Linked DNA regions of Lonchura striata. The protein of the gene in region 3 interacts with the protein of the main gene of each other region in a pairwise test. Links are inferred from orthologs where the notes say so. Each region holds a gene or a part of one and is shown on either strand. Other genes may lie near its edges.

The links. The genes of interacting proteins can lie anywhere in the genome.
Region 1: the proteins of UBE2K (region 3) and DTX3 interact in binary tests that used the Homo sapiens proteins (3 or more experiments, as listed by UniProt). The link is inferred for Lonchura striata from reciprocal best matches to the Homo sapiens genes UBE2K and DTX3.
Region 2: the proteins of UBE2K (region 3) and MARCHF3 interact in binary tests that used the Homo sapiens proteins (3 or more experiments, as listed by UniProt). The link is inferred for Lonchura striata from reciprocal best matches to the Homo sapiens genes UBE2K and MARCHF3.
Region 4: the proteins of UBE2K (region 3) and MIPOL1 interact in binary tests that used the Homo sapiens proteins (3 or more experiments, as listed by UniProt). The two-hybrid records come from large-scale screens. The link is inferred for Lonchura striata from reciprocal best matches to the Homo sapiens genes UBE2K and MIPOL1.

The regions. Positions count from the first base shown.
Region 1 is NC_134629.1:5,163,488-5,170,958, reverse strand, and holds the start of DTX3 (putative E3 ubiquitin-protein ligase DTX3), read left to right. Parts: upstream 1-4,384; 5' UTR 4,385-4,430; intron 4,431-5,463; exon of another isoform or gene 5,464-5,474; 5' UTR 5,475-5,518; coding exon 5,519-5,531; intron 5,532-7,471. Other genes in the region: PIP4K2C (phosphatidylinositol 5-phosphate 4-kinase type-2 gamma), read left to right, coding at 36-182, 272-310, 526-639, 1,706-1,955, 2,031-2,134, 3,268-3,348. UniProt on the Homo sapiens protein: Regulator of Notch signaling, a signaling pathway involved in cell-cell communications that regulates a broad spectrum of cell-fate determinations.
Region 2 is NC_134642.1:83,597,158-83,605,417, reverse strand, and holds the start of MARCHF3 (E3 ubiquitin-protein ligase MARCHF3), read left to right. Parts: upstream 1-5,173; 5' UTR 5,174-5,297; intron 5,298-6,531; 5' UTR 6,532-6,680; intron 6,681-8,260. Other genes in the region: CZH5orf63 (glutaredoxin-like protein C5orf63 homolog), read left to right, coding at 1-112. UniProt on the Homo sapiens protein: E3 ubiquitin-protein ligase which may be involved in endosomal trafficking. E3 ubiquitin ligases accept ubiquitin from an E2 ubiquitin-conjugating enzyme in the form of a thioester and then directly transfer the ubiquitin to targeted substrates.
Region 3 is NC_134606.1:22,965,794-22,973,029, forward strand, and holds the start of UBE2K (ubiquitin-conjugating enzyme E2 K), read left to right. Parts: upstream 1-4,067; 5' UTR 4,068-4,237; coding exon 4,238-4,300; intron 4,301-7,236. UniProt on the Homo sapiens protein: Accepts ubiquitin from the E1 complex and catalyzes its covalent attachment to other proteins. In vitro, in the presence or in the absence of BRCA1-BARD1 E3 ubiquitin-protein ligase complex, catalyzes the synthesis of 'Lys-48'-linked polyubiquitin chains.
Region 4 is NC_134608.1:24,430,545-24,438,171, forward strand, and holds the start of MIPOL1 (mirror-image polydactyly gene 1 protein), read right to left. Parts: upstream 3,088-7,627; 5' UTR 2,960-3,087; coding exon 2,820-2,959; intron 1-2,819. Other genes in the region: SLC25A21 (mitochondrial 2-oxodicarboxylate carrier), read left to right, coding at 5,499-5,565.

The DNA of each region.
Region 1 (7,471 bases), on a different chromosome or scaffold from region 3:
CCCGCGTGTCACCACGTGTCCCCGTGTCCCCGCAGTTCGTGGTGCAGTGCCACGGGCAGACGCTGCTGCCGCGGTTCCTGGGCATGTACCGCGTGAGCGTGGACAGCGAGGACACGTACCTGCTGGTCATGAGGAACCTCTTCAGCCACCGCCTGCCCGTGCACAGGAAGTACGACCTGAAGGTATCGGGGCGCCCCCGAGCCCCTCTGATCCTCTTCTGGGGCGGCCTCCCCCCAAAACCCCTCCGGTCACCTCTGCTCCCTCCTCGCAGGGCTCCCTGGTGGACCGAGAGGCCAGTGACAAGGAGAAGGTACTGCGGGAGGACGCCGTGACCCCCGGATTTGGGGAGGGGGCTCTGGGCTCCCTCTTCCCTCCTCCCCGCTGAGGACAGCTCACTGGCTGCCCCCCAAGGGCCGGATTCCCTCCGCAGGGGCTGCGACCCCCAGGGACGCAGCCTGGGGGGGGTCCCGCGGCTCTGGGGGGTCCCCTCCAGCTCGGGGGTGTCCCCCCGCTGTCCCTCCCCAGGGCAAGGAGCTGCCCACGCTGAAGGACGTGGATTTCCTCAACAAGAACGAGAAGGTGTTCGTGGAGGAGGAGCAGCAGCGCGAGTTCATGGACAAGCTCAAGAGGGACGTGGAGGTGGGGACGGGGGGGCTGCAGCCCCAGGGGTCTGAGGGGATTGGGGGGGGCTGTCTCTGCACCCCAAGTGAGCCTTGGTTGGCCTCCCAGTGCCCCGGCTCTGAGGGTTTTTGGGGTGAGGCTCCCCTGTGCCCCGGCTCTGAGGGTTTTTGGGGTGAGGCTCCCCTGTGCCGGGCTCTGAGGGTTTTTGGGGGAGGCTCCCCTGTGCCCCAGCTCTGCGGGTTTTTGGGGGAGGCTCCCCTGTTCCCAGGCTCTGAGGGTTTTTGGGGTGAGGCTCCCCTGTGCCGGGCTCTGAGGGTTTTTGGGGGAGGCTCCCCTGTGCCCCAGCTCTGCGGGTTTTTGGGGTGAGGCTCCCCTGTTCCCCAGGCTCTGGGGGTTTTTGGGGTGAGGCTCCCCTGTTCCCCGGGCTCTGGGGGTTTTTGGGGTGAGGCTCCCCTGTGCCTCAGCTCTGAGGGTTTTTTTGGGTGAGGCTCCCCTGTGCCCCGGCTCTGAGGGTTTTTGGGGTGAGGCTCCCCTGTGCCCCGGCTCTGAGGGTTTTTGGGGTGAGGCTCCCCTGTGCCCCAGCTCTGCGGGTTTTTGGGGTGAGGCTCCCCTGTTCCCCAGGCTCTGCGGGTTTTTGGGGTGGGGCTCCCCTGTTCCCAGGCTCTGAGGGTTTTTGGGGTGAGGCTCCCCTGTTCCCCAGGCTCTGGGGGTTTTTGGGGTGAGGCTCCCCTGTTCCCAGGCTCTGGGGGTTTTTGGGGTGAGGCTCCCCTGTGCCCGGGCTCTGGGGGTTTTTGGGGTGAGGCTCCCCTGTGCCCCAGCTCTGCGGGTTTTTGGGGTGAGGCTCCCCTGTTCCCAGGCTCTTAGGGTTTTTGGGGGCTCTCCCTGCAGCCATGAGTGTCCCCCACCCCTAATGACCCCCTGGTTGTCCCCCCAGCCCTGAGATTCCAGGGGGTTTTTGGGGACCGTGTCCAGTACTTGACAGCTGTGGGGGTCCCTTTCTCAGCCTCCAGGCCCTGGGGGCTTTGGGGTGAAGCCCCCCGGGGGTTTTGGGGTGGCCTCCCCCATGGCTGCCGTGTCCCCTCAGTTCCTGGTGCAGCAGAAGCTGATGGACTACAGCCTGCTCCTGGGCATCCACGAGGTGGGCCGGGGCGAGCAGGAGGAGGAGGAGGAGCTGGAGGAAGAGGAGCCCGGGGGCGGGGGCGATGACGGGGGGCTGGGGGGCCCCTACGGCACCTCCCCGGAGGGTCTCGGGGGGCTCCTCAACTCCTACCGGCCCCTGGGGCCCGGCGAGTTCGACCCCGGCGTGGACGTGTACGCCCTGCGCGGGGCCGAGGGTGAGCCGGGGGCTCGGGGGGTGCCGGGGGGTTTTGGGGTGCCGGGAGCGCTGAGCCCCCCGGCCGTGCCCCCAGGAGCCCCCCGGCGCGAGGTTTATTTCATGGGGCTCATCGACGTCCTCACCCAGTACGACGCCCGCAAGAAGGCGGCGCACGCGGCCAAGACCGTCAAACACGGGGTGAGGGGGCACCCCGAAATGGGGGAGGGCACCCTGAGCTGGGGAGGGCACCCCTAAATGGGGAGGGCACCCTGAACTGGGGGGAGGGCACCCTGAGCTGGGGAGGGCACCCTGAAATGGGGGACGGCACCCTGAACTGGGGGGGAGGCACCCCGAAATGGGGAGGGCACCCTGAGCTGGGGAGGGCACCCCGAAATGGGGAGGGCACCCTGAACTGGGGGGAGGGCACCCTGAAGTGGGGGAGGGCACCCTGAGCTGGGGAGGGCACCCTGAACTGGGGGGGAGGCACCCCGAAATGGGGAGGGATATTCTGAACTGGGGGGGACATTCTGAACTGGGGGAGGGCACCCCGAAGTGCGGGGGGAATTCTAAACTGGGGAGAGGGCACACTGAACAGGGGGGCAGCACTTCCAGACTGGGGTGCAGGCATCTCCAAGCTGGGGAGCGGGCACCCCAAAATGGGAGGGAGGGCACTTCCCAACTAGGGGCAGGGCACCCTGAACTGGGGGGTGGCATTTCCCACCTGGGGGGGGCAGGGCTGGCTCCCCCTTGGTTTTTTGGGGAGGTGGGGAGAGGGAAGGGCTGGGGGGACACGGGTCAAGCCTTCAGGGGAGGCTTTGGGCGGGGTAAAGCCCCGGCAGGGTCTGGGCTGTGGGGAGCTTGGGGCGGGGGTGTTGTGGGGGTGCCAGGAGGGGCCGGGGGTTGTTACGGGGTTTGGGGAGGGGTGTTGTGGGGGTGCCAGGAGGGGCCGGGGGTCATTCCCGTTTTGGGGAGGGGTGCTGTGGGGGTGCCGGGAGGGGCCGGGGGTCGTTCCCAGGGTTTGGGGAGGGGTGTTGTGGGGGTGCCAGGAGGGGCCGGGGGTCGTTACGGGGTTTGGGGAGGGGTGTTGTGGGGGTGCCAGGAGGGGCTGGGGGTCGTTACAGTTTTGGGGAGGGGTGCTGTGGGGGTGCCGGGAGGGGCCGGGGGTCGTTCCCAGGGTTTGGGGAGGGGTGCTGTGGGGGTGCCGGGAGGGGCAGTTTTGGGGAGGGGTGCTGTGGGGGTGCCGGGAGGGGCAGTTTTGGGGAGGGGTGCTGTGGGGGTGCCGGGAGGGGCCGGGGGTCGTTCCCGGGTGGGCTCTGAGCGCTGCCCCCCAGGCCGGGGCCGAGATCTCCACGGTGCACCCCGAGCAGTACGCCAAGCGCTTCCTCGACTTCATCACCAACATCTTCGCCTGAGGGGGCCCAGGGGCCCCTCCCGCGGGACCAAAACCCCAAAACCCCACGGCACGCCCTGCCCCCCCCCAGTGGGGCTTCACTGCTCAAGTGCCTTAACTCTGTGTGCGGGGGTCCCGGGGGGCTCTGGGGTGCCCCCCCCGCACAAGGGGCTCTGGGACCCCTCCCAAAGCTGGGGGGGGGGTCAAACACTACTTGCCCCATGGGGGGGTGAAAGGGACCCCCCGGTCATGGCTGCCCGGGTGGGGTGCAGCCCCCACCCCTCTTCCCAGGGAGGCTGGGGGACGCTCCCTGCCCCCCTCCGCGTGGGACCTGGGGGGCTCCACAGCTCCCCCCCTTTTTGCAGCTCCCGGGGGGCAGGGGAGGGGAGGACCCCGGCCTGGTGGGACCCCCGGGGGGGGCGGGACGGGACCCCCGCCCCCCATTTGTGGGAGTGTCGCGTGTCGTGTCCCCCCCCAACCCCGTTTGTGGGGCTCCTTCCCGTGCTCTGTACCGAGAAATAAATTATTGAACCGGCCCCGCGTCTGCCCGGTTCCCTGTGCCCCTCGGAGCCCCCTGCGCCCCCAACCCCGGCTCCCCCTTTCCTCTCTCCCTGCGCCCCCCAACCCCGGCTCCCCCTTTCCTTTCTCCCTGCGCCCCCCAACCCCTGCTCCCCCTTTCCTCTCTCCCTGCGCCCCCCAACCCCTGCTCCCCCTTTCCTTTCTCCCTGCGCCCCCCAACCCCGGCTCCCCCTTTCCCGGGGACCCCCAGTTCCCGGCTGCAGGCCACGCCCCCGCCGCTCTGGCCACGCCCCCAGACGCGTCGCCCCGCCCCCGTTGCCATGGTGATGCTCCGCCCCCGTTGCAATGGCGGCCCCGCCCCCGTTGCCATGGCGACGCTCCCCCGTTGCAATGGCGGCTCCGCCCCCGTTGCCATGACGACGCCCCGCCTCGGTTGCCATGGCGGTCCCTCTCCGCCCCGTTGCCATGGCGGCCCCGCCCCCGTTGCCATGGTAACGCTCCGCCCCCCGTTGCCATGGCGGCCCCGCCCCGCGCGGTCACGTGAGCCGCCGGACGCGCCCGCCATGCTGCGCCCGCCCGGGCCCGGTGGGTGCGGGACCGGGACCGGGACCCGGGACAGCGGCACCCCGGCTCCCCCCGGCTCCCCCCGGCTCCCCCCGGCCTCCCCGCCGCGCCCCCGCCCCGGCTCGGCCCCGCCATTCGCCCTGCCCGCGCCCCCGCCCCGGGCCTGCCTGCACCGCAGCGACCCCCGGGCCCCTCCCCGGGCCTGCCCGATCCCCTCGGGCCTTACCGGGACCCCCGAACCCCCCCGGGCCCTATCGGGACTCACCGGCTCCCCCTCGGGTCTCATCCGGACCTTCCCCGGGCCTGCCCCGGCCTCCGCGGGACCCCCGGGCCCGACCTGTCACCGCCGGGCCCGCCCGTCCGCCCCGGGACCCCCGGGCCTGCCGTGCCCCCCCCGGGACCCCCGGGCCTGCCCCGGGACCCCCGGGCCTGCCGTGCCCCCCCCGGGACCCCCGGGCCTGCCGTGCCCCCCCCGGGCCTCATCGGGACCCCCCAGCTCCCCCAGGCCTGTCCCCCCCATTCCGGGCCCATCCCCCCCCGCGTCCCCCGTGGAGCCCTCGGGGGGATGGGGGTCACCGGGGGTCACCGGGGGTCACCGGGGGGCACCGGGGGGACCGGGGGGCACCGGGGGCCGCGGCGCGTTCATCCCCCCCGGTCCGCGGGCCCCACCTCGCAGCGAGGGGAAAACGGGTCTGGGGGGGCCGGGGACCCCCGGAGCCGCTGCCCCCCCGAAGGGCTGGTGGGGGCTGGGGGTGCCGCGGGGTCCCCTGGGTGCTGCCGGGTCCCCTGGGTGCCGTGGGGTCCCCTGGGTGTCACGGGGGTCCCCTGGGTGCCGCGGGGTCCCCTGGGTGTCACGGGGGTCTCCTGGGTTCCGCGGGGTCCCCTGGGTGCTGTGGGGTCCTCTGGGTGCTGTGGGGTCCCCTGGGGACACGGGGGGTGGTGGTGCTGTTGTTTTTGTAGGGTGCCGTGCGGGGGGGGTCCAGAGGGGTTGAGGAGCCCCCCCAATTGGGTCTGGGGGTGGAGGGGCCCATCTGAGACCCCCCGTGTCCCCCCGTGTCCCCCCAGCCCCGGGCTCGTGGCTCTGCTGATCGCCTCGGCTCCTGTCCCCCATGGGCTCACCAGGTGGGTGTGGGGACCCCCCGCTCTGGGGACCCCCGGCCTGTGACCCCCTCCCCCCCGTGCCCTGGGGACCCCCTCCCCCCGGGCTGTGGGACCCCCTTGGAGCACCTTCACCCGTGGGACCCCCCCCCGGGTTCAGGGGTGCTGGGGACCCCCAGCCCTGGCCCCACCCTTGGGGGTGACGGTGTGGTGACACCCCCGGGGTGTCCCAGATTCGGGGCACGGGGACAGGTTTGACCCTTGAGGTGGCACCTTGGGGGGGTGAGCGTCCCCAGGGGGGCAGGGGGCTCTGGGACCCCTCAGGAGCCCCCCTGGGTGCCATGCCCGGGCTCAGGCAGCCTGGCAGGGTTTTGGGGGGGTTCACCTTCAGATTTCGCTGGGTTTTGGGGTGACCCGCAGTCCCCAGGCTCTGGGGTCTTGAAGTGCCCAGTGCCAGAGGATTTTGGGGGTCCATGCCCAAACTCAGGTTTGGGGGTGCATGCCCTGGCTCAGAGGGGTTTTGGGGGGCCCGTGCCCAGTCTCAGAGGGGTTTGGGGGGATCCATCCTCAGTGTCAGAAGTTTTGGGGGTCCGTGCTCAATCTCTGGGACTTTTTTGGGGTCGATATCCAGTCTCAGAGGGGTTTGGGAGGGTCCATGCCCAGTGTCAGAAGTTTTGGGGTCCTATGCTCAGACTCTGGGAGTTTTTTGGGGTCCATATCCGGTCTCACAGGATTCTGGGGCTCTGTACCCAGGCTCTGAAGGTCCCATGCCCAGATTTTGGGGTTCAAAGTGCCCCATGGCCAGCCCTTGATGGTTTTGGGGTGTCCCCCCTGGGTTTGTCCTGTCAAGAATGTTGGGGTGTGTGGGGGCCACCAGGTGATGGTGCCAGTGGGGTCCAGTCCCTGGGGGTTTTGGGGTCCCATGCCCAGTCCCTGGGGGTTTTGGGGGTCCCGTGCCCAGTCCCTGGGGGTTTTGGGGGTCCCATGCCCAGTCCCTGGCGGTTTTGGGGTCCAATCCCCAATCCCTGGCAGTTTTTGGGTCCCATGCCCAGTCCCCGGCAGTTTTGGGGTCCCGTGCCCAGTCCCTGGCACTTTTGGGGTCCCATGCCCAGTCCCCGGCAGTTTTGGGGTCCCGTGCCCAGTCCCCGGCAGTTTTGGGGGTCCTGTGCCCAGTCTCTGGCACTTTTGGGGTCCCATGCCCAGTCCCCGGCAGTTTTGGGGTCCCGTGCCCAGTCCCTGGCAGTTTTGGGGGTCCTGTGCCCAGTCCCTGGCACTTTTGGGGTCCCATGCCCAGTCCCCGGCAGTTTTGGGGGTCCTGTGCCCAGTCCCTGGCAGTTTTGGGGTCCCGTGCCCAGTCCCTGGCAGTTTTGGGGTCCCCCAGGGCCGTTCATGCTGTCAGGGATGTCGGGGTGCAGTGGGGCCGCCAGGTGATGGTGCAGGTGGGGCCCAGGCTCAGGAGGTTTTGGGGGTCCATCTCCATCCCCTGACGATTTGGGGTGTCCCCGGGTGTTTAGGGGGTCTGTGCCCAGTCTCTGGGGTTCAAGGTGCCCAGCCTGGCACTTTTGGGGTGTCCCCGCGGTGTCGAGGGTGTCGGGGTGTGGGGGCCCCACCAGGAGTTGGGTGACGGTGCCAGCAGGGTCTGGTCCCTGGGGATGTGCCCAGCCCCGGTGTTTTGGGGTGTCCGTGGCTGTTTTGGGGTGCCCATGGTTGTTTTGGGGTGTCCGTGGCTGTTTTGGGGTGTCCGTGGCTGTTTTGGGGTGCCCATGGGTGTTTTGGGGTGCCCATGGGTGTATTGGGGTGTCCGTGGCTGTTTTGGGGTGTCCATGCGTGTTTTGGGGTGTCCGTGGCTGTTTTGGGGTGCCCATGGGTGTTTTGGGGTTGGTGCCCATGGGTGTTTTGGGGTGCCCATGGGTGTTTTGGGGTGCCCATGGGTGTTTTGGGGTTGGTGCCCATGGGTGTTTTGG
Region 2 (8,260 bases), on a different chromosome or scaffold from region 3:
CATACCTGTTTTTCACTTAAATGGGAAGTTCCTAATGAAGCATCGTGTCGACATTCAAAAATTTGAGGAACAACTTAGGAACCTGGAATTGCAAAATGAGAGAAACCAGTGAAGAAAATGCAGCTGCTCTGAGGCAGATCTCAAAGGTGAAAAGAACTGTTTGAAAATAACCCCATATTCGTTATGTGACCTTAAATTTCTTAGGACATATGAGTCTGAAAAACTGGAGTGACTTGTGTTCTGCTTTGTGTTAACCACCCAGCCCAGCTGCACCAGGGGCTGCCTTTTCTGTGCTGCTCATTTGCTGCTCTCGTGGGCTGGTGTGTTCACTGACAGAATAAAAGCTGCTCCATAACAGCAGATAAAGTAAACTCTGTTAGTATGGGGTTGGCATGGCCAGGTTTGGGTAGTGGGGGGTGGTTTCTCTGAGAAGCTGCTGGAAGCTTCCCCTGTGTCCAGCTGAGCCAGGCAGCTCCAGGATGGATCCTCTGGCCACATCCTCAATGATGAGGAAGGAAGAAGGAGAGAATGTTTAATAAAATGACTGCAAACTCCATTCTCCATCTCCCTGAGGGGAAGGAGGAAGAGAAAATTGAGAGCGAAGTTAAGCCTTGGAAGAAGGGAAGGGTGGGATAAAGGAGTGTTAAAGGTTTAGTTTCCTTTGTCTTTATCCTACTGTGATTTGATTGGTAATAAACTAATTTCCCTAAGTCTCTGCTGCCTGTGACAGTGATCAGTGACTGATCTCTCTGTGTTCTCATCTCAACCCACGAGCCTTTTATTGTATTTTCCCTCCTCTGCCCAGCTGGTGAAGGGACTTGACTTTTGTGGGTGTGTGGCATCCAGCCAGGATCAGTGTTTAAAAGATGATTAGCACATGTAGACGTAGATTAGACTGTAGATGTGTAGAATTCCTTGAAGAAGTCTAGGAGCCTATCCTAAATGATAATTCAAAATAGAAAATAGAGCATTTACTGTTAAATTAGAAGGACACTTGATTAAAGACCACACACTCTCAGTGGAATTGTCATCATCACAATTTGATACAGTTATTGCTAACACCTAACGCTGAACAGTTTATTTTTCACATTTCAGTTCTGTCTTCCACACAGCTGCAAATCCGTTTATCATGAGACAAAAATGCCATTTTTTTCAAGGATTGCTGCAGTTAGATTAGTTACATTAGTTACATAGGCAATGCAGGCCTGTGAAGGAGACAGAATGCCCAAGTTAAACATATTTTCAGGAAGAAGAGAATGACAGATTCAGGAAAAGACAACCATTTCAGCTTAAATAATCTGTAACAGACTGGAGAAAGATGCTGGTATTTTTGATGTATTTAATAGATTCTTTAACACAGAAACTAATCCCTACCTGCTGCATTTTCATTGTTCTTATCATGGTGATACTCACTCTTTTCTCCTTACTAGGAATTTAAGCAGGCTCACTTGACAGATGTGCCTTCACAGAGGGAAGAATTCAGATGCAATGCCTGGCTGGAACACCAAACTGAAATAAAGCAGGCTTCAAGAAAGACAAGTCTTAAGTTTTGGAGAATGGTTTAATAAGTCAGCTGATCTGCTGTGGTGAAAATGGACTGCTCCTTCATGCCTTGTCCTGCAGTGTCTTTAGCATTTGACAAATAATTTGCAATCTAGTTTTGATGTATACCCCAATATGAAAAATTTCTGGGGAGGAGGGAATCAGAAATTAAAACTTCCAGCTTAGCAGCTTTACTCCACTCAGGTTCTGAAACTATCCAAGAATTCCCAGGAGGGAGACCTGTGCCATTTTTTTAGCAGAGAACTTGAGGTAAGATCAGCCAGATCATGGATCCACAATGTTTTTCATCACCATTAGCAGAAGAACAGAGACAAACATTTCTATGCTTTCTGCAGTTCATAAAGCTACAGTCAAAGTTCTAACTGTTCCACGGGTTACTGTTAAATAAAAGATCTGAATTATCTCTCTATCAGCAAGTGCCAGTTGCCTTTCTTCTATGATTTGAGATGGTTTCAGAGGGCCCAGGTTTTTTCCTTACTGAGGTTTTGTGATAAGAGAACTGCATAGAGCACTTGTCAACCATAGCTCAAGTGCTCTTCTAAAGTGTAACAGCATTATCTCAAAGATAGGGACAACAGAGGTCATGTGGACTTGCCCCATTTCCGAAAATACATAACTGGCAGAGACTGGCAGAACTCTCAGGGAGGTTTTTGCCTTTGTTTTATTTTAGTAAGGTCTGTTTTGGCAAGGAGAAAAAGGAAGCTAAAACCAAACTTCTTAATAATTTTAGAGCTGATTAATCCCTTGTTCCTTTTTCTGTCAGACTGGATATTTTCCTCTGTAGCCACTGCCACATACTTTTTCCCCCACTTATTTTGTAAAGTGAATGATAACAGGATTTCCTTAATTTTTGTCCATTTTGTTGCTTTTGTGAGTGAGATTGTGCTTTTCCATTAGGGCTGTGCTGCTGAAAACCTTCCAGTGGCTTTACTGTTCTGCACTTTTAAGAGAGTGGAAACCTTCTTCTCATCAGTTTGGACACAGGGACAGGAGGTGGGAATGTGTCAGTATGGAGTGTTGGTGACACAGCCTCACCTTCATTTTCCAAATGCAAGAAAGGATGCATCCTATATAAATTTGAGGGGTTTATTTCCCTTCTTGAATGTAAGAAATGCATCAGACTCCCAGCACATGCATCTCTCTAATCAAATGTGTTGAAGTATAACACAGATATTAAAATGAGAAGGTATATGCGCCTGCTGAATATATATTTATGGAGCAATATGCAACTTTATGAAAACTGGCAATTTACTTTTTTGACAGTGAATATTGGCAGGAGTGCAAAAGTTTGTAATGCACTATTTCTGTAGTAAAATGAGAATGAATACAAAATGGATTTACTTCCTATTTCTGGCCAATTAAAAAGCACATAGACAATGTCCCATCTTCTTCCACTAACTACAAAAAACAGATACCCACTGGGCTTACTTTCTTCTGTGTTCTGCTTCTCTCTTTCTTTGTGTCTTTAAATTGTACACGAGACATGGAAGAAAATGTCTCATTTCTTTTAGGCACAGCACTCCAGTCACAGTGTCTTCCTGTCCAAACTGGCCTGTGGTACATAATCTCAGATTCAGCTGTAATCACATAGCCATCTGGATTAACTACACGTGGAACTAAACAAAGCCCCATGTGCAAGTGTTTACAAGATCACTTTTTTTTGGTGGTGTTTTTTTTTTTTTTTGGGGGGGGGGGGGTGTTTGTTCGTTTGTTTTATTTCAGTGGCAATATCACTTTCCAAGCAGTTTTGCTTTATAGTCTATCAATAACATCTCTCTTCTTTTCCATCATGACCTGCTGGCAAGAAGGCTCCATCCCATTCTTGTGAAACTGCTTTGCCTCATAGACCCAAACCTAAGTTTTTGAAAACTATGACTGGAACTGTGAGAACAGAACAGTTTCCAGTTAGGGACCTCCATCTGAATAATGGCTTGAGCTGCTTTGGCAAAAAAAAAAAAAAAAAAAAAAAAAAAAAAAAAACCAAAACCAAAAAAAACATGGGAAGAGAAACAAAACCATTCTTTGTCCTCTATCCTCACCTCTTGTAGCATTTCAGATCAAATTCTGATTCTTGGTCTGGATCTTCCAGAGATAAATTACATATGACCAGGTTATCCAAAGGGTAAAATGAGTTCCTGCAGGAATACTCCCAGCTGTCTTGTCCATGAAATGAACTACAGGGACTGAAGGCAGACCTTCCTCATTTTCCCTCAGTGCTGCCTTCTGGGGCACATATGGCTGATCACGAGGATAAAAACTAAATCCCTCCCAGTCATACCCAAATCTCAGTGAAATGAGACAAAACTACATCCACTCCCTTCTCCTGGGGAGAAGGCTAAAGAGCAATGTTGTGACATGGATTACTGGCATGTACCTAGACATGAGGTCAGGGTGTGCAAAATTCAGGGTCTTGCTACAGGGCAGGTAGTTTTAGCCTGCCACAAAAAGAAATGAGACTTGGGCCATGTAATCATGAGTCAGTCCAATCCTTTCCCTTCCTTTCTCCCCTTCCTGGGTCCCTGGTTTATTTTTATTTTTATTTTTAAGTGTTCTGGTTTTTTGTTGTTTTGGTTTTAGATTTTGATTTTTGTTTTGTTTTCAGTTGGATTGTTTTCCTTACTATGACATTCCCTGAACATTCCCTGGACATCTGCTTCCAAAAGGTGGCACATATCTCTCCATTCAGTGGAGAAAAGCATGGTGAATCAAACCACATTGATACACACAGGTTTGATTTATACACCACACACCAATTCAGGCTTCTTCTCCAGCAGGTGAGACATCCATTGCTACAAGATCTCCAAGGTGCCAGGAGCTGAAGCTGCAGATCTGTTTGCAAGGCTGGGATCCAAGCAACTTCATTGATGTCCCCACTGCATGGAACACATAAATTCCTGCTTAATTTACCTTACCTGCCTCCTGCTAAGGTGTGCTGAGTGACTTGGGCCTGCCAGGCTCTCTCTTTTTATTTTAATACACACAGGTATCACCTGTGTGCTGTTTCCATGCCCACCTGGAAGTGCAGCTGTGCTGCTGGGGGTGAACATGCAGGTGCAAATATAGGTGGGCATTTTTCTTGTGCTTCATTGGAAGGAAAGCAAACCAAGGGCAGCTCCTCCCTGCCCCTGCGATTTGCCTTCTAGTAAAATTTTAGTACATCTTGCTGCTTTAACAGGGCAGCTGTATTCAGGGAACACAACAATTTTAGGAAACACCATCTCAGCCCTGCAACAGTACTTTACTTCCGAACAAAGCAAGCGTGACAGAGGCAGTGAAATGGAGAACTGTGGCTGGGCAAGATAAAATATCAGCCTAGGGGTTTGTCTTTTGGAACTTGGGGCTGTCGTTTTTGATGCAGCTTCAACTGAGTCTCAGCAACTCCGGCGCCTTCACCGACCTCAGCCCCGCAGCAGCTCTGGGAAAGCTCCTTCCCTCTCGCGCTGTGGCTCTGCTGAGGTTTTTAACTCCCGTGTCACAAGAAAAGGATGAAATTCCTTGATTCCAGGCTGGCAAGGAGCTGTCGCTCCCCGGGCGCTCCTTTGTGTCGCTGCTGCTCCGCGGGTACCGCCGGGGGAGGAGGAGGAGGAGGAGGAGGAGGAAGAGGAGGAGGGGTTGATGGAGCGAGGTCCTGTAGCGACAGCCGAGCCGGAGGCTGCAGCTCCTGGCTCTCTCCCGTGGGTTTGGCAGCTTCATCCGTATTTTTGGAAGGACAGCTGAGGGTCCGGGTGGAGGAGGTGAGTTCCCTGTCGCTCCCCGGGAATTAAAATGCGTGGCTGTCGCGTTTCTGGGCTGGAGGTAAATTGCTGCTTCTTTCTTCTTGTTATTCCTCTTATTGCTTGTGTTATTGTCATCGTCATCAACGTTTTCCAGTAGTTCGGCTGAGGTTTGGTTTTTACTCTTTCATTAGAATAAAAAAACGAAGCAAAACCATTTGAGGAGTAATAATGCCCAGCGTGAAGCGATCGGGCTGGCGGCTCTCAGGCAGAATTACCTTCGGGACTTCGGAGCCGGGGAGGAAAGAAATACAGTTTCCTTCCATTCCAGAGGCTGTGACAAACTGTAGCCATTTCTGGGATTTAGCCTAGAAATTCCAAATCTTTTTTTTTTTTTTTTTTTTTTCCTTTTATTTTCTTTAAATTCTTTTTCCTTTTAATTGCCGGGTTATCACAGGGCTCTTTGCAGATATGAGGAGTTGTGAAACTACTCAGTAATGTACCTGCCCGTGTCAGAGGAGTTTAACTTTCAAAGCAAATCAATTGTTTAAACTTGCATTTAACCCTGTGTTGCCCCCTCTGGGGCTGCTGATGGTGCATGCAGCATGTTTACCAAGTAGTGTCTCAACTTTGGACTGCACAGGGCAATCCAACCATTCCCAAGTCTTCAAACCAGTGAAAGCAGAGCGTGTTTGCCTATTAGAGATTGACTGTTTTGGCAAGGATGTTTACAGGCCAGCCAAGGTCCATTGGAATAAGTAGGAAAACTCTCACTGATGGTGACTCATGTCCGTGGGCTTTGGACCAGAGCAGGGTGTTGGAAATGTGCTTTGCCAAGTGGAACTCGGTAGGTAACCCTCCCACAGCCCCCTTGGCTTGTAAAGGGAGTGGGATGAGGTGCAGAGTGCTGTCAGACAGAAACTTGTGTGTTTGTGGCTGCTTTAAATACATTTGCTAATTGCACGTGTGTTCCTTGGGGTTTAACATGTCATTGATCTTTTAATTCATTGCCAATGGCTTAGTCTGCTGCTGTTTGTGAGGCTGATGAGGCAAATTGCAGCCTTTCTGCAGTAATTATTATTGTGGTGGCATCTTGGGGTGTGCAGTGTCTGCTCAGAAACTTCCAGGTGTGGGGTGCTTGTGAGTGAGGTATCAGACTCACCTGGGAAGACACAGATTTCCAGATTTCCCAGTCAGATTTCCCAGTCAGAAGGGACTTTTTCTAATGCCTTCTCTGATCTCTTGCTTATCACAGGCCACACAGGATTCACAAATAAATTCTACATCAAGCCCACGACTTCTGTGAGGTCTCCACTTGCCCCCATGGACAGGCTCCATCCACAGCAGGGCTTCAAGCACGTTTGAGACACTGCCTGGTGGCTCCCAGGCTTGAGCTCTGAAAGAGTGAGTAATATCTTCCATTTTAAATGGCTGTAATTAGGCTGGGAGCTATTTTGATCTATCAAAATATGGTTTTGCAAATAATGCCTATTAAAACACATCAGGGTAGCTGTGGTTGTTGTGGCTCTTGTGTTGGCAGAGCCACTTTCTCTTTGAATTTGTATATTTTCTTGTTCTCTGCAGCAGATGCAAAGAGATGTGTTTGGTTTCTGTAGTAGCAGAAACTTCACCTACCTTTGAAAACATTTGGAAACACATCTGTCTAGTGTGTTCTTTGCATTCCTGTAGGGTCTCTTGATAGAAATTTTAAGGGGGAGCTGTTTCTGAATGGATTCATCCTCACACCACCATTGATCAGATGAAAATATTACCCTAAAGATGACTCCAGCTAGTTGGAGCAGGCCCAGAAGAGCCATTGTGGGCATCCTTCCATTAAAATAAAACAGATTATAGACCAAGGAAAAGTACCTGAGAGCGTCACAAAAGTGGTCACGGCAGATTTCTGCTGCCAGGAGGGTGTCCTGCTCTCCTTATGGAAGCTGGCAGGAAGAAATGTTGCTGCTGCTGCTTAGACCCACAGTCTGAAAGGGAGGGAAATTATTTGTGACACAGTGCAGGAAGGCTTGTCACAAAATCAAATTGCTGAAAACCACCAAAGTGGTAATAAGAACGCTTATCTAGGGATTCTTGCACTGCTCCTGTGTCATCCTCGCTGTGTCAGCCCCTTGGTGCTGTGATATAGGTATTTTTTACTGTCTTTGCTACGGTGCACCCCTCCACACAGCAAAGAATCTCATCTGTCCCTTGCTTGTGATTACTGGACCTGTTTTCAGAGCAATACAAAGCAACAGGAAGGGAAAAAAGAGTCTCTGGTATCTCTCTCACTTTGCTCTCATTTAAGCTTAGTGCAAGGCAATGTAGATCAGAATTAATTACTAATTCTAATTATACTTTGTGTCTTGGAGATATTGATATTTTCAATTTCAAATTTATGCATCTGCAGCTTTTTTTTTTTTTTTCCTCCACTGCAGCAACAAAGCCAGGAAAGCTCTTAAACACATGCCTATTTTAAGCCTGCCAGCAGTCCCTTTGACTTAATTCAGCTGAGTGGCCCAGGGCAATAGTTTAATATAAAATTCTCTCTGTCCTGATGGCAGTCAAAGTTGTTGTGGTTTTTTTTCAGGGCATTGAGGGAAGAGGAGCGAGGGAGAAGGGGAGAAGTTGTTTATTCCTGAAGCCTAACACAACTTAGCCAAGCTCTTCTGGGTAAACCCTCAAAATGGGGATTCCTGTGTGTTAAAAATTCTGGTGTCTTGGTACTTGTTTTCACCCTGAAAAAACTCTGGGTTTTGTGTGATACTCACTCATTCCAGACAGTTTTAGAAAGCCTTGTTAATTCCCACAACACTTAATTATAATAAAACCACAATTAGATCTGCCTCAGACATGTCAGTTTCTGACCTGGAGTGCGCCCATGCCTTGGCACTTTACAATCCTTCTACACTCCCTTGTCTTCACCTTTTTTCTGCATAGTGTCTTGCACCTTCCTGTTTATGCCAGTATTTACCTCACAGTTTTTCTTT
Region 3 (7,236 bases):
GAATCATCCAGACACTGCCACAACTGGAACGCAATATGACAGACAATAAATGTGCAGGCTAAAATTATTCTTAGTCTCTGAAATGAGCTGAATGATATGCAGATAAAAAAGACAATTACTGTATTTCTCTGTTAAAAGCTGGGATCATAGAAAGAGAGCTGTAAGCATACCATCGACGGAAAGTGAAGGTTAAATTTAAAAATAGCCTAGTTATATGAATATTGTTTCCTTTTAAAAAAATAAAGCACCATTATAAATGAGCATACAAACATTTAAATGCAAAGTGCATATAAACTAGTAGTAACACAGCTTGTAAAGTTAATCCTTATATGGATATCTCGTGAAATAAATAAAATAAGACTTTAAAATGCTACAGGTTCAACCTGTTTCTAAAGGGATTGAAATCAATATACCTATCTCTTGAGACAGCTTTCCTCTCCCAATAAGTAATCCTCCAGCAACAAAGAGAGAAGATCAAGCCTGACATTTTTGATTTTTCTAAACTAAAGGAGCCAAGATGAAGATGTGGTAGTTTTGTTATGCAAGACATAAAACAGTAAAAGAGAAATAGAATGCTGCATACTGCAAAATTAATGTTTCAAAAATTTAATTTTCCTCTAATCATAGGGGACTATCTCAGTAATTCCAAATTTTCTCTGAGTAGTTCCTATTGATATGAAAAAATATCCTATTGATATGCAAAAATAAAATTAGGAAAATATGGAAATGAAAAAAGATCACCATGAATCTTAACTTGAAGAACAGAAAGCACTTAGTGCTGTCACAAGCATCTTGGAGTCCCCAGGCAGTACACTGGTGCTGGGGGCATCCATAGTCTGGGAGAGCAGAACCATGCACACAGGGCTATATTGGATGTACAGCGAGTCCATTGTGCACAAACTTTGCATGAGCCATAGCCACTTTTCCATGAAAATGTGGGGAACTGTACATATATATACATTACATATATACATATATAACTTGTACATATATACAGGTTGCACGATAGACAGTACTTCCCACATTACATGGGAAATGCCTCAGTGTTTAGGATGTTTGGTTATCTTAGCATTGGCTAATGAATATTGTTAGCCTTTCCATATTGAGAGCTTGGGCTGAGGCCTTACAACCACTGACCCTACCAACTTTCCTCCTGCAATAACCTTACATAGTTTGAACTTCAACTATACCTCCTTCTCCCACTTACAGAAGTCTTTCAAAACAATATGCCAATCATGATAAACAATGCATATATACTCAGAATTGTATCTCCCACTCTACTAGTTGTGTTCAACACCAACGGGCAAAAGCATAAACCAATGTGCAGCCAGTTTGTAAAAGCTGCTATTGAAAGAGTTGTTCAGTATGAGACTAAAATGATGATAGGATCAATGAAAGAACTATCTCTTGAAATCATATATACTACAAACATTTTTAATTCAAAAAATGAGCTATGTTCAATGGACTACAGTTGTACATATAGTGTATGGATTTTTCCAAGGGCAAAAGACTAATGAGAACTTAATTCAGGGCTATGTTATCAACACACAAATATATACAAATATATTTCAGGGACTTCCATGTCTGACTCCCTAAATGGAAATATATTAGGGAGTCAGACATGGAAGTCCCTGAAATCACACAAAGAGGCCACATTCTAAATTTTTGTCTAAACATTATCTTTTTAAACAAATCAAAAATAAAACAACAAACAAGCCCAACTTCCCCCAAAAAACTAAACCAAAGCCCAAAACACCTATTCAAAGTCTATGGTCCTGTTCTACACTAAAACCCTGTAGAATCTTCTGTAAAATAGTAAATTATAATAAAGTATAAAACAGTATAGGAGACATAAAATGATACTCCCAGCAAGTTAATTATGTAAGGTACTGATTTTTATGTAGATTTTGATCCTGGCAAGACTCACTACTACTCTGTTTTACCAGACAAAAAACCCTTTCTATATCTGTCTTTCAGCAAAGAGAAAATTAACACAGTATTATGGTGAATATGAAACAGTTTTGAGATAAGTGAAAAATGCCTGCTTAAGGACAAGGGAAAGGAATAGGGTATACCAAAGAAAAGAGATACAGTAATTCATATTAATTTATTTTTTGCAGTAACAGACTCTGACATTTGTAATCCAAATGAGCACATGAAAATGAACCTAGGTACAAACCAGACAAAATCATTGCCCTTTACCATGGCTGTTACTGGATGTTCACTACCTATAACATAAAAGCATACTCACAGGAACACAAAAGATTTTGACACTTAATAAAGGTCATGCTTTCTACTCCATTCAGAGCAAAATCTGAATATTGGAAGCTTAGCTTCTTTCTGTGAGTTGTCTGAAAAGACATGAAGGATTTAACCAGGAGTTTTTATGTACTACCTTTATTATTTTTGGCTATAGTAGTCGTAGTTGCTCAGCACACTACAAACCTAACTTTCATCTAAGAGGCAAAAAAGACTTATCATCCTTTCTTTATTGGTGACAGTCAAGGGCACAGAAAAGCCATGGCCTACCTCCTCAGAAGGAATTTAAGACATATCAGTGGAACTCAGATGTCTAAATTATTCTGTAAATGAAGGACCAAAATCACACTACTAAGTCATTAAAAAGAAACCAGGCCTAATGCAAAATGGTCCTTTTCATAAAGGTATTGAAAACCTCAGCTGAAAAATTTGATTGTATAATACATTTTAAAGTTTTCATCTGAAAAAAAAATTGATGAACAGATGCAAATGGTACAACGTTTTCGCAGAAAAATGAATTTTTTGAGTCAAACTAGATGGGAAGAGTAAACACATTAAAAGGACTATATCCATCTGTATATAGTTGACAGATTTTAATTTTTTTTTTTTTTTTTTTTTTTTGTTGCTTGTATTTTCTTTATAGTGTATATAATAGTCAAAATGCTGTGTATACTAATGGAGGAATGAACAGCATTTGCAGATAACGCCCCTACCAGAAGTCAACATTTGTTGAGATGAATGTCTGTGTTGTATGTTGTCCTGCACTGCACTGTTAAAAGGGGGCCCGATAAAATGTTCCTGTAAACCTTAATGTCTTGAAAGCCTCTAGTTCCCGAATAAACAACAGTCAAAATCTAATCTAATGTTCTCTGAAAATCTATGCTCTTCGATAACATGCCTTATTTTCTATACCTCAGGTTAGAAGTTATGGTTACTGTTTCCCTAGTTCAGAATTCAGAACAGAAGCAGCATCTGTGGGTGCTCATGTTTGCTTCTGCAATAAAATGTTCATTAGACAGGACTGACCTTTGCTTTTTAATCTACTTTTAAAACACTGTAGCAGAATCTGTGAAAAGAAGCAGTTCCTTTCACTGTCCCCATTATGTAACCTGTTTCTGGGCCTGCAAGTTCTCCTGGTCCCGTGTGAGGAGGCACCAGTGTCTCCAGGGGGAGGGGGGAAGAGGACGAGGAGCAGGTCTGGGAGAGACGTGTAAGGAATAACATTTTTCTCTGCCGAGCATAATGGGGAAAAAAATAGTTGAGAACCGCTGTTACGGGCCCGGGTGAGCAGATTCTCAAGTTACGTGAGAGCCCTCTAGTTCTTTTTGCTCGGGGGCTTCACCAGCAGACATAGCAGCTGCTCCTTGAGCCAGCTGTTTCCTCAGCGACACCTCAGACGTTCCTCCCGCTGCCGCCGGCCCGGTCCAGCCCTCCCAGGCTGCTCCTTCCGCCGTTCGCGGCCCGGCGCCTCAGGGCTCGCCCGCTGCCGGTGCAGGGCCGGGCGGGAGCCATGACGACACAACGGTCCCAGCTGCGCCCCGGGGCCCGCCCGCGGCGGGGCTCTGCATGAGGGGTGCCGCCTCACGCTCTCGCCACGGGCCCGCCCGGCCCGCGACGGGGCGAGCGGCTCGGGCAGGCATCTCCCGGGACGGGCGGGTGGGCGGCCGGTGGGCGAACCCCTCCGCCTCCACAGGTGGGCAGCGCACCCTTCCTTCGTGGTCAGCGGGGAGGAGGCGGCCCAAAGCCCACCCGCCGCAGCCGCCCCACCGGCAGCCTCCAGCCACGGCCCCCCCAGCCCCCCCACCGCCCAGGTGCCGCTCCGGCCGCACTCCCGCGGCCCCTCCTGAGGAGCGGCGGCAGCCCTTTCGCGCATGCTCGGCGCGGGCGCCATTTTGGTAGGGCCGGGAGTTCTCCAGCGGAGCGGCGGTGGAGCTCGCTGGGCCCGGCGCGGAGGGGGCGAGGGGTGCCCGCTGCGGAGATGGCCAACATCGCGGTGCAGAGGATCAAGCGGGAGTTCAAGGAGGTGCTGAAGAGCGAAGAGGTCAGAGCCTCTCCCCCCTCCCCCTGCGCGCCGCCGCCACCACCACCACCACCCTCCCCCGTGTGAGCGTGGGCAGCAGTGGACGGTGCAGGCGCCCCGCCGGCCTTCGCGGGGACCCCGCACCCCCCTCGGCCCCACCTCCCCGTGCCGGAGGTGGGCCCGTCCCACGGCATCTGGGAGGGGAATGGCGATTCCTGGGGAGACGGGGGCCGCCAGCCGCTGTGAGGAGGAGGAGGGGGCCGCAGGAAGCGCGGCGGCAGGGCCCGAAGAGGCTGGGCGGGCCGGCACCCGGCGAGGGCTGCCGGCGGTCGGTGCTCGGGAGCGCCGCCAGGCCGGAGGCCACGGGGCGGTGCGGGTGGGGCCGGCCCGGCCCCGCGGGGACCCCCGGGGACCCCCGGCACGCGCCCTCCCGCGTCCGGCCGCGCGGCTCCGGGAGGGATGCGTGAAGCGGACTGCGGAGGGCGAGGTGGGGTGCGTGATCCCACACATCCCCTTCGGCTGACCCCTTTGGCTCGCCAGTGCCAGAGGCTGCAGGGTACGGGTTTAATGTTTGGGGTTTTTTAGCGGTTGCTATTAAACCCCCATTTAGCTTCCCTGTATACAGAACTTCCTTTATCCCACTGCAGGCTTACTCACCTTTAGATGGATGCTTTTAAAGCCTCACTCATTTCAGTCATGTTACCTCGTTTCCTGATCAGTATGTTCAGAGGTATGTGGTAGTCAGTAAGAGAGGCTGACTACTTTCAGGGCAGCAGTAAAGAAGTTCTGATCAGTTTGGGTGAATATATAGCAGTATTTGCAGGGTTGCATCAATACAGCTTTTGCTGTGTCTGTGTCTGAGTTGGTGGACGTCAGCCAGATAGGTTTTAATAGTTGTGTCGTCATTGTCGTCCTACTTGGGATGATGTTGCAGGTTAGATCTTTGTGAAATATTAATGTGAATATGTAAATCTTAAAGGTGGTGTTCCAGAAATCTGGACGTATTCACAGAGAAAAAATTGAGAGAATAGTTTTTGAAAGGTGTTAATGGCTTAAGGAAAGCACGTTTAGGGTAGCAGTAGTTAATGTACTTTTAAATTGTGTGCTAACAACATTGTTGCTATACATCTTGAGCTAGCCCCTAGAAAAATGTAAGGGCCTTGTTTTACAGCTGCCTTTAGAGCCCAGGCTGATTTTGCCAAGCCATTGCACAGCAAATACAGAACTGCATGGAGACCAAGAGAAATTTCTAGGTGGATACCTTTATACCAATGTTAGAGAATGTAGACCTCATACCCCGTATAACCAGCTGATACTGTGGAAACAAAAAAAGTCTATTTGGAAATTTGGAAATGCTTTCTAAATGCTTCAAAACCATTTCCCTTTGCTTTATGTAGAAAACAAAAAAAGAAAAAAAAAACCTTAATTTAAGTAGGTTTTAGGGGAGGTGAATGGTAAATTTTCTTACTGTAAAGGTTGGATCCAGTGTGCACATTTTTGTTTATTTCTGTTTGTTTAGTCTGCAGGATTTCAGTACAGAATTTTGGAAATGGATATTATTATAAGATAGCCTTTGAGCTGCCTGAAGCTAGCCAGAAAAAGGTCATAATTCTTATAAAATTCAATTAATGGAATTTCAAAATCATAGTACAGCAGACTCTTGACATTTATTTTTCTTCTGCCATTGGCAAACTACATAAGTGTCATGATATATTAGTATGTATAAAATTGCTGTTTACAGACAATACTAACTCCCATGTCTTTAATGCAAAATTTCAGCATTACTCAGTGGTTATCAAAGTTGCAGGCAAAGTTTTTTTTTGTGAATGTTTATACATTCCAGGGCAGTCAAACTATGATGTCCTTATCATTGGGTGTGAAAACATGTGGAGTGGGATGATGAAAAAAGATCCAACTAAATACTACAAATGACAAACAAACAAAAAAAAGTTTTCTTACTAAAATTATTATTAAACCTGGTTTCTTCAAAAAGAAATATTTTTAATGAATGGCAATGCTAAGTTTGTTTTTTGGAGGTTAATAAGTCCCTCTCTGAAAGCAAAGTGGCTCACATTATCTGTTCTTAAATTATTCCTTATTTAATGCTTCGAACTACTTGAAGGGCACCCCCCCACACACACACCCCACCTTTTCCTTGTAGATATAACAGGAGCATAAATGCCTTGGAAGGGGGTAGGCACACAGGGAGAAAAGCACATAGGAAGTTTGTTCTCTGTCTTTTTCCACTACTCACTTTTATGCTGAAATGGATGATGGAACTAGAAATGTTTTTAAAAGGGAGCAGCTGGATCAGTTAATTCCTTCTGCATTTGAAGTACGTGTTGGACGTGCTAAATCCAAATGAAGAAAGAATTCTGTAAAGTGTGTTTATCCTTGCTATGGATAAGGATCTATGAATCCTTGCTACACAGGACTAAATATACTTTTCATATTACTTAGTACTTCCTTTTTCCTTGAATGTAATTTCTGGGAAATAACTAAAATATGAAATATGCTCTCTGGTTTACAGGAAAGAGATGAAGGATCTTCCATAGTTCTAAGTTGAATCTGGGACTTATAGTGTTTTTCAAAAGTATTTAAAGTCTTTTCACTCTTGAGGAAGAGAAAAGTGCTTTTGTACTGCTTGCTGTATTATTTGTAGTCTTGTTATATACATGACATTACGTTAAGAAGTATGGTATTGTTTATTTAAGAGATATCTGTAACTTTACATCTCTTAAATAGTTGAATTAAATAGATAAAACTAACTAAAGTTAGTTTTAGGGGTTGTTAGGAGTGCTCTCTAAAGTATGATCTTTTGTGTGTGGAGAAAGCTTCTGCAGTTCTAAGGTAGGCGAAGTATTGTGCATCCATAACAAAGATGAAATTTTTAAGTCTAGGTAGTAACTTTACTGGTTAATTATGTGTAGGCAAGGGATCAGATGTTCCACTTTCTC
Region 4 (7,627 bases), on a different chromosome or scaffold from region 3:
GTTTTTTCTCTCACGCATTCTAACTCCCCTCTCCAGCCGCAAGTGAATTCCCAGTCCTTACCCCTTTCTTCACTCTGTTATCCCAGAGGTGCTGCCACTGCTGCTCACAGGGCTGGCCTTGGCCAGCAGTGGATCTATCTTGAAGCTGGCTGGCATTGGCTCTGTCAGACATGAGGGAAGCTTCTAGCAGCTTCTCACAGAAGATCCTCTGTAGATCCCCTGCTAAAGAACCTTGCCACATAAAGCCAATATACGTATAAACTATTTTCAAAATTCTAATATATAATATTCTTTACTATACCAAAGGCCACCACTCCACAGAAACTGTCAGTTTGCATTTTAACCTGTCCCTAAAGGACAAAGGTTCACATCAAGAATCATCATGAAAAGCAGTAGCCTGCTGTTAAGAAGCAAGCGGGGAGCTTCCTCGCAAAACTAGCGGGGAGCATGCCAAGCATCCTGTCACTTAAAAAACTGGTGGCTGAAAGCAGCAGAGAATCATCTTAACAACTGAGCAGTCACACTGTTTCTTTCCATAGCTGTAGCTGTTCTGCAAAAAAAGGTTCAATACTCCAGTTTTCTTACTTCTTCAAAACCATCTTTCTTTCAAAGGAAAAGGAAAAAGGCAGCAGTCATACAGGAATACCTGTCAGTTGCAACATTAGCTTGTAGTTAAATCTGTCAATAGTCGTCAGCCCAGAAGGGTTGCTTGTTTGTTTCAAAGGTAAGTTTCAAAACATCAATTGCCCACATAGGGTAACAGAGTAAAAGTGACAAGAAGCTTCTGCATTTATTTTGGTGATCTGCACTAAAGTAAGCATCAGATCACTAATTCATAGCTTAAAAGTGCACTATGGCATTTCACTGCTATGAACACACAGCATCTGTTCTGCCCTATGTTTGGCAGACTAAAAAGTAGGTAGCATAAAGATCCATTAGGATATCTCTCAGGTTCGCAACTAAATTTACACAAATCTGTGATGTATAGGCAGGATGCTCTTTCCCTTCATCCTCGGATCATGTGTATCTTCTTGCTTTAAATTCTAATGAATAATTTGTTGATTATTTCCCTAGAGAACTATTGAACATGTATTTTCCCTTCTCCCCTAACCGCTTCTAGCAAGATCTGAAAACTCCCTTACTTTTTTACTAACCTAGGTGCTCTCCGAAACTAAAACCCCCACAAACTTCAAAAAGCAAACGTGGGTCATGTGGCATCAGCATCATACTATTTCTGCCAGTAATACAATGTGTTGGATTTGTCTTGCTACAAGAGAAATACTAAGCATGAAATAAAACATTGTTTTGCTTCTTACTGGTCAGGGAAAAAGTTTAATACCATTATAATGCATTTCTAATTTAGCAGCATCTAGAATGACTTCTAACAAGCAGGGAGATAGATTAACAGGATGTGAAGAAAAGTAACATTTCCTTATCCCAAACAGGTAAACTAATGACTAAAAGAGAAATTAAGTAAATCCAGAAACAAAGCAAGCAAACAATCAAAAAGGCAAGAAATATAATTATTTATCATGTGAAAACTAGGGAAGAGATTTTTGAAATTTAATTTGTTACCCACTACTATTGGGCAGTAGTCACCATTGCAAACTGTAAGGAACTTGCAGTACCATTGCAAGAAAACCTAAAATACCTAGAGAAAGTAGCAGCAACTGCTCCTGTCTTCTTAAATCCCATATGTATTTCATGTCCCAGTCCATCTCTTCACTTTTCATACTGCAACCAGAAGTGCAGTAACTTAGCTGGACAGGCAAGACAAGTTTATCACTTTCAAAATCCTGAAAGCAGTGCTAATCCCTTTACCAGTGACAGAACAGAAGAGCTCACAGCCATCAAATTGATGGCACCTCACTGGTGTACATAGCTCTATCTCACACAGCTGAAGAACCTTGTCACGAATTACAACATTCTGGGTACTAAACACCAAAATAAAACAGAACTACCACATAAGCAGCATGTTTAACTGGCATGACAGTTTTAACTCTCGTTAAACCTTATGAGATTTATAAGCTAGTCCCCATAACATATTTAAATAAACAAAATCTAAAACAAGTGGTTTCGAGTTAAACCAGAGTTGTACATTCCCAAAGCAGAACTGGCCAAGTACAGATGCTCAAGGACAGGTACAAGAACAAGGCAAGAGCATCATTGCACTTCCCTAAAATCCACAGATCCTAGAACCTCCGAGATCTTCTGAGCCAGAAAGCACATTGCTGTGGTTAACTGATTTTTCTTCCACTGCTAAAACACTGCAATTTAAGACTGTTCTAAGTGGAGTTAGAACTTTCTAGAATATTCAAAAGCAACTACAGTGCTTTTGTCCTAATACTACACTCTGAATTCCCAAATAAACTCTTACAGCAACCCAGCTCCAATCACCTCAAGCCCCTGAAGTTGTACTTAGACCCAGCTGTAGTTTTTCCACGGACAAACATCAAACATCAGAAGGTGTGCTGTCTCAGGTAGAACAGTCCTTTGGGTACATTTATTGAATATTTTTCTCCCAAATTCTTCACACTGAGAAACCATAGCCTTTTTCCTCAGAAGAAACAGATCCTCACATCATCATCAAGAATTCTGATTAGCAGGAATTACAAGAGGAGCTGAGGTATACAGTTCATTGGGATTTCCTAAGAAGCTTTAAGTTATAAATATTCAAAAAAAGCACAAACTTTATTTTGGCAAGGTCTTTTGGTGCAGTTTTTTCCTCTTTTTTTTTTTTTTTTTTTATAAAGCATTAGTACAATGAAGAGCATCTTGCACACTTTGTTCTCATCTGACACTAAAGATCCAGAACCGACCTCCTGAATTTGCTCGGGGCAGGTTTCATCTCGGACTGTCCCGGTCCGTTTCTCAGCGCTGTCCCCCTCCCAGAGGCGGCAGCCAGTCCGCCCCCTCCCTTCCCGCAAAGCCGCCGCCTCTGGGACTCCAAGCCCCGCATCCCCGCACGGCAAACTTGCTTCCCCCTGTCTTCAGCTGCGGAGCGGGCGGAAAGTCGGGCCAGCCGGGTCGCCCGGCGGCCGCGGGAGGTAACATTAACCTAGCCAAGGGGCTGCCACGGCACATGCAGCCGGTCAGCGGCGCAAGGGCCCGGCGGCTCGCTCCCGGGGCCGGAGGAGGCCGGACAGGGCCGCTCGCCCGCGGGGAGGCGCTGGGGGCAGAGCGGCCCGACCTAACGCCGTCTCGCCGGGACGCGCCGCCGAGCCCGTGGCAGAGGATGGGGCGAGTCCCAGCCCGAGCGCCGCGGGGCGGCCCCGACCCGGCCCCGCCGCCCCGTTACCTGCGCGCTCCGGCCCCGCCGCCGCCTCCGCAACAAAGCCGCGGGCGGGCGGGGCCGGGGCGCGCGCGCCCGCCGCCCTCGGGAGCGCGCAGCGGCGGGGCCGCGGCCGGGGGCGGGGCCGGGGCGCGGGGGCGCCGCCCTGCGGGAGGGAGAGGCGGCGCGGCGGGGCCGGCGGGCGCGGCGCTGCTCTTGGGTCTCTTCTCCTCGTCCTGCCCCCGCTCGGGCAGCTGCGGTTTCCTTCTCGGGTGTTAGCGCAGGGGTGCTGCCCGGGATGGACGGAATTCCCTACCAAGGGACGCAGTAAGGACAAATGGAGAGACAGACCTTGCCAGGGATATCGAGGACAAGAATGGAGTGGCGCTCATGTACTGGTTTCGGATGAGGCCATATGGAAATAGGACTGAGCCTAGAAGTGCTTTAGGAAACCTGCATAGTGGGGAGGTTGCCCTTTGTGGGGGAGGAGGGAGGGGTGGATGGAAAATAAGGGAGATATGCCAAAGAGACTTTCAGTTGGGGAATTGAATTAGGGGGCATAGATTTGGAGTTTGAATACCGTGAAACGACCTTAATGGTTTTCTAACAATAGCAGAGGTTGTTTGTTTTCTTTAAAGGAGCAGGTGTTATGCTACTGTGTGAACATCCATGTAACTTACATGCATTCTGACTGCTGTTCTCTTTGATGCAGAAAACACACATGCAGAAAACAAATCTATCTGACCAGTTTCTGCACTCTGATGAACTCCAAATTCTCTCTGCTGTCGAAATACTGTAGCAAAGTCCACCTTAATACTAGAATTGCTATTTGTACCCAAGAGAGCATTGCACAAGGAGAGTTACATCTCTGGAACAAAAAAGTGGTAATGCTTCAGCATCTGCTTCTTGATGATAGGGAACACTGGAGACTTGATCATCCAGAAGTATTTATTGAGCAGCATTATCAAGGAGCCAAACCAAGGGAACTAAGGCAAATGCTAATGAAACTTTGAAGTTGAGATTTTAATTACTTAAAGGTCGGCACATTCAAGTTTTATTAATTTAAGGGAGTTATTCTGTATTCTCACAGCAATCCACACTCAGCTCCTATATAGATCAAAACTCCATGTTATTGTTTATTTGCTGATGCATTCAAGTGATATAACTGAATGCTATACCTGACTATTATTCCTTTTTACAATTAGGGTCTCAGTCTTTCAGCATTTTATTAACACTTCTCTGTACATTTCCTACGTTCCCGTCCTTTTCAGTAGCAATAAACCCGTTGTTTTCTTCTAATCTTTGTTCTACGTTACAAAAAGCTACATTTCCTTTCAAAGCTGGAACCTCTAGTCAGTTAGCAACATTTGTGGCTAAACTATCACAAACAGGCACCCAGCAAACTAATGTATCAGAACAGCCCTATTAACTGTCTTGCCCTTAAATGGTGCTACCTCTGGGATGAGCCCATGCTGTCCCCCACGTTGTACTCGGGCATCTTCTGGAAAAGCAGAAATTGGCCTTGCCGAAAGCACTGCTGGAGGCTGTCGGCAATGGCGCTATGTCCCACCACTTCCAGCCCATGCCCTGTCACCGTTTTTTTTACTAAGATGGGTCCACAGGTCCCTGTAATACATGTAATAGTTACTCTCCAAGCGACAAAATACCCGCGTCCTTTAGACTAAAGGTTTTAGAAGGACAGCAGTCTTCAAAAAGACAGCCTGTGATCCCAGCGGCACCAGCGACCCTTCCTAGAAGCTGAGGAGCAGAGGATTTGGGGTGTTAGCTGGGTCCCAGCAGCGATGGGGAGCAGGATGCGCGCTGTATAGCACCAGCCCCGAAGCGGGAGTGTACGGCCCCAGCCTGAGCAGGGGACGGCAGCTGACAGTGCCACAGCCTCGCTCCCCGCCCCAGCCTGGACGGTCGCAGCGCCGGCCGTCCCGGCTGTGCCCCGAGAGAGAGAGAGAGGCTGCCGCTTTCCGGCTGGAAGCGGTGGCCCGTAGCTGCGAGCCCGCGCAGCGCCCGGGGCCGCCCTCTGCCCGGGGCCGGCTGCCAAAGGCCGCCGCGGGGCCGCAGCCCGGCGCCCCCGCCCCCGGCTCCCCCTCCCGCCCGCAGATAACCGCGGCCCCTCAGGCTCTTCCCCAGCCGCCCAGCGCGCACTCGGCCCGGCTCGCGGCCGCTCTCCCGGCGCCTGCTCCCTCTCGTCGCCGCCGCGGCGCGGGTGAGGATGGCTCGGCAGCCCCGGGGCTTTCTGCAGGAGGCCTCTCACCAAGTCGTCGCCGGAGGCTCGGCGGGTGAGTGTGCGCGTTCCTCGTGGGCGGGAAGGGTCTGCCCGTCCCCCGCCGGCGCTCCGCCAACTTGAGGCGCCGGCGGCCGCGCCTCCCCCGCTCCGCGCTGCTCGGGCGGCGGGGAACGCACCGGCTCACCGGCGGCTCCTCCCCCGCCGGGCGGCGCGGGCGGGCCCGGAGGCGACCAAAGCCCGGGGGTCCCGGGGCAAATTCTGTAACGGTGCTCGGCCCGCCGGTGGGGCACGGGGGTGAAGGGGCGCTCCCTGGCTCCGCGGTGTATCTGCGCCACGCACGCCTGCAGCCCCTCGGGCGATAAGAGCGGCGGGCGGGCCCCTTCAACGGCAGCAGCACAGCCGGCCCCAAGGGCTGGAACCGCGCTCGGGGGAGTCCGCGGCGGGGATCCGCCTCCAGCGCCTGGATACGGGACTGAAAACGTAGCTGCCCTGCTCAGACACCTTCCCCGTGACGCTCTTCGTCGCTGAGTTACAGAGAAACCAATGCAGGGATACAGTGGAAATGCATTCCTGTGGGGTTTTTTAAATACTTTTAGGAATGTCGACATTACTCATTCATTTGTAGTCTGATTGTACTGCAAGCTACAAATGTCAAAATCGTACACGTCTGTTTAGCAAGGAAAGCATTGCTAGTCAATTTCTTCCGGTTTCTTACCTGAATCCCAGTGGAACAAATACTTAAGTCAGCTTGCAGTGTAGGAGATTTTAACACAGTATCCTGCTGTTTCAGTCTGCATATGTAAATCTTGTTAATATTTCAATTATGTAGTGTGTGTTTAAGTGTTCCTTAATGTCTCTTCTGAGGTCTAAGTGCTGTCTGTCATAATATGTTTTACATGAAAGAGAAGAGCTACATGGTAATGTTGCTGTGTCTTATGTAATGCTTCAGTGTAATGTGCACAAGAAGAATTCTCCTGTGATTGAGACCTTTGTGGCCGTGACATGACATGTGACCTGGTCTTCCATTCCTTCTAATTCCCATTGTACCTCTAAATCCACTCCTATGCATTCCTGCCACCAACACACATTTGAGCAGTTTATTTTCATGCTAGTGACTCTCTATGCCCTTTGTTTTCAGCCTTCCCCCTTGACAGTGAGAGATGTCATAGCAGAAGTGGAGAAGTCTGGTGTCCCAGTGTATTGTATGACTGCTGTCCCTGACCTTCCAATGTATTGTATGACTGTTTATGTAGCTTTTCTGCAGCCTTTGAAATTCTAAAGTTTTTTTTTTTTTTTGATTCTGCTTGGTACCACCCCCATCTTTCTATAGGAGAGAATGGACAGGTTTACTCTGTCCTAGACTCTTGAAAACCCGTCATACCTGAAGGGATAGTGAGGTGTTTTGCCACCAGATGTTTTGCAAGATGACAGATTTGTCTGCCCTTAGCAGTTGGCCTGTGCCTTAGTGATTCAGATTGATCTAATGCACTATGTTACCATCCTCTGGCAGGAGCCTGTTTTTGCTATAGGTTCTCTTTGTAGAAGAAGAGATTGCCTAACACAACAGTAAAAAAGTTGTGATTTAGATAAATGAAAAATATTTGGTAATCTGGTAGGCATCTGTATTAGGGTGAGAGAATTTTCAAGGAGACTATTGATCCGCATGCAACACTTTCTAGAAAAAGTATAATGTGAGAGGCCTGTTGGATCTAGTCCAGAGACATAATGTTAAAGATGCTGGCAACCTTTTGCTTAAACTCCTGTCAGGCAGGCAAGTTCCTTAGCTGTGTCACTAGCCTTAAATTTGTGCAGAAATTTCTATTAATTTCTTTTGAAATAAACCAGTAATGATTTATTATCTGAGTCTGAACAACACTAAAATTGTACCAGGGGATTTTTATATGTGTGCTTCAAATGGGAGCTCTTAAGTGTATTAGAGGGAAATGGCTGAAACTTGAAAACTTGCTTAACAGATGCTTAAAAATCAGTGGTGTATTTTGCTGCTAATTTATATAGAAAGTAGAAGGTAAAGGCTGGAGTTTTGAGGTCTTCAGTCTAATGGTTAAATTTCTTTGGCAAGTGTAGCTACAACATAGAAAAGGTGGAAGCAAGGA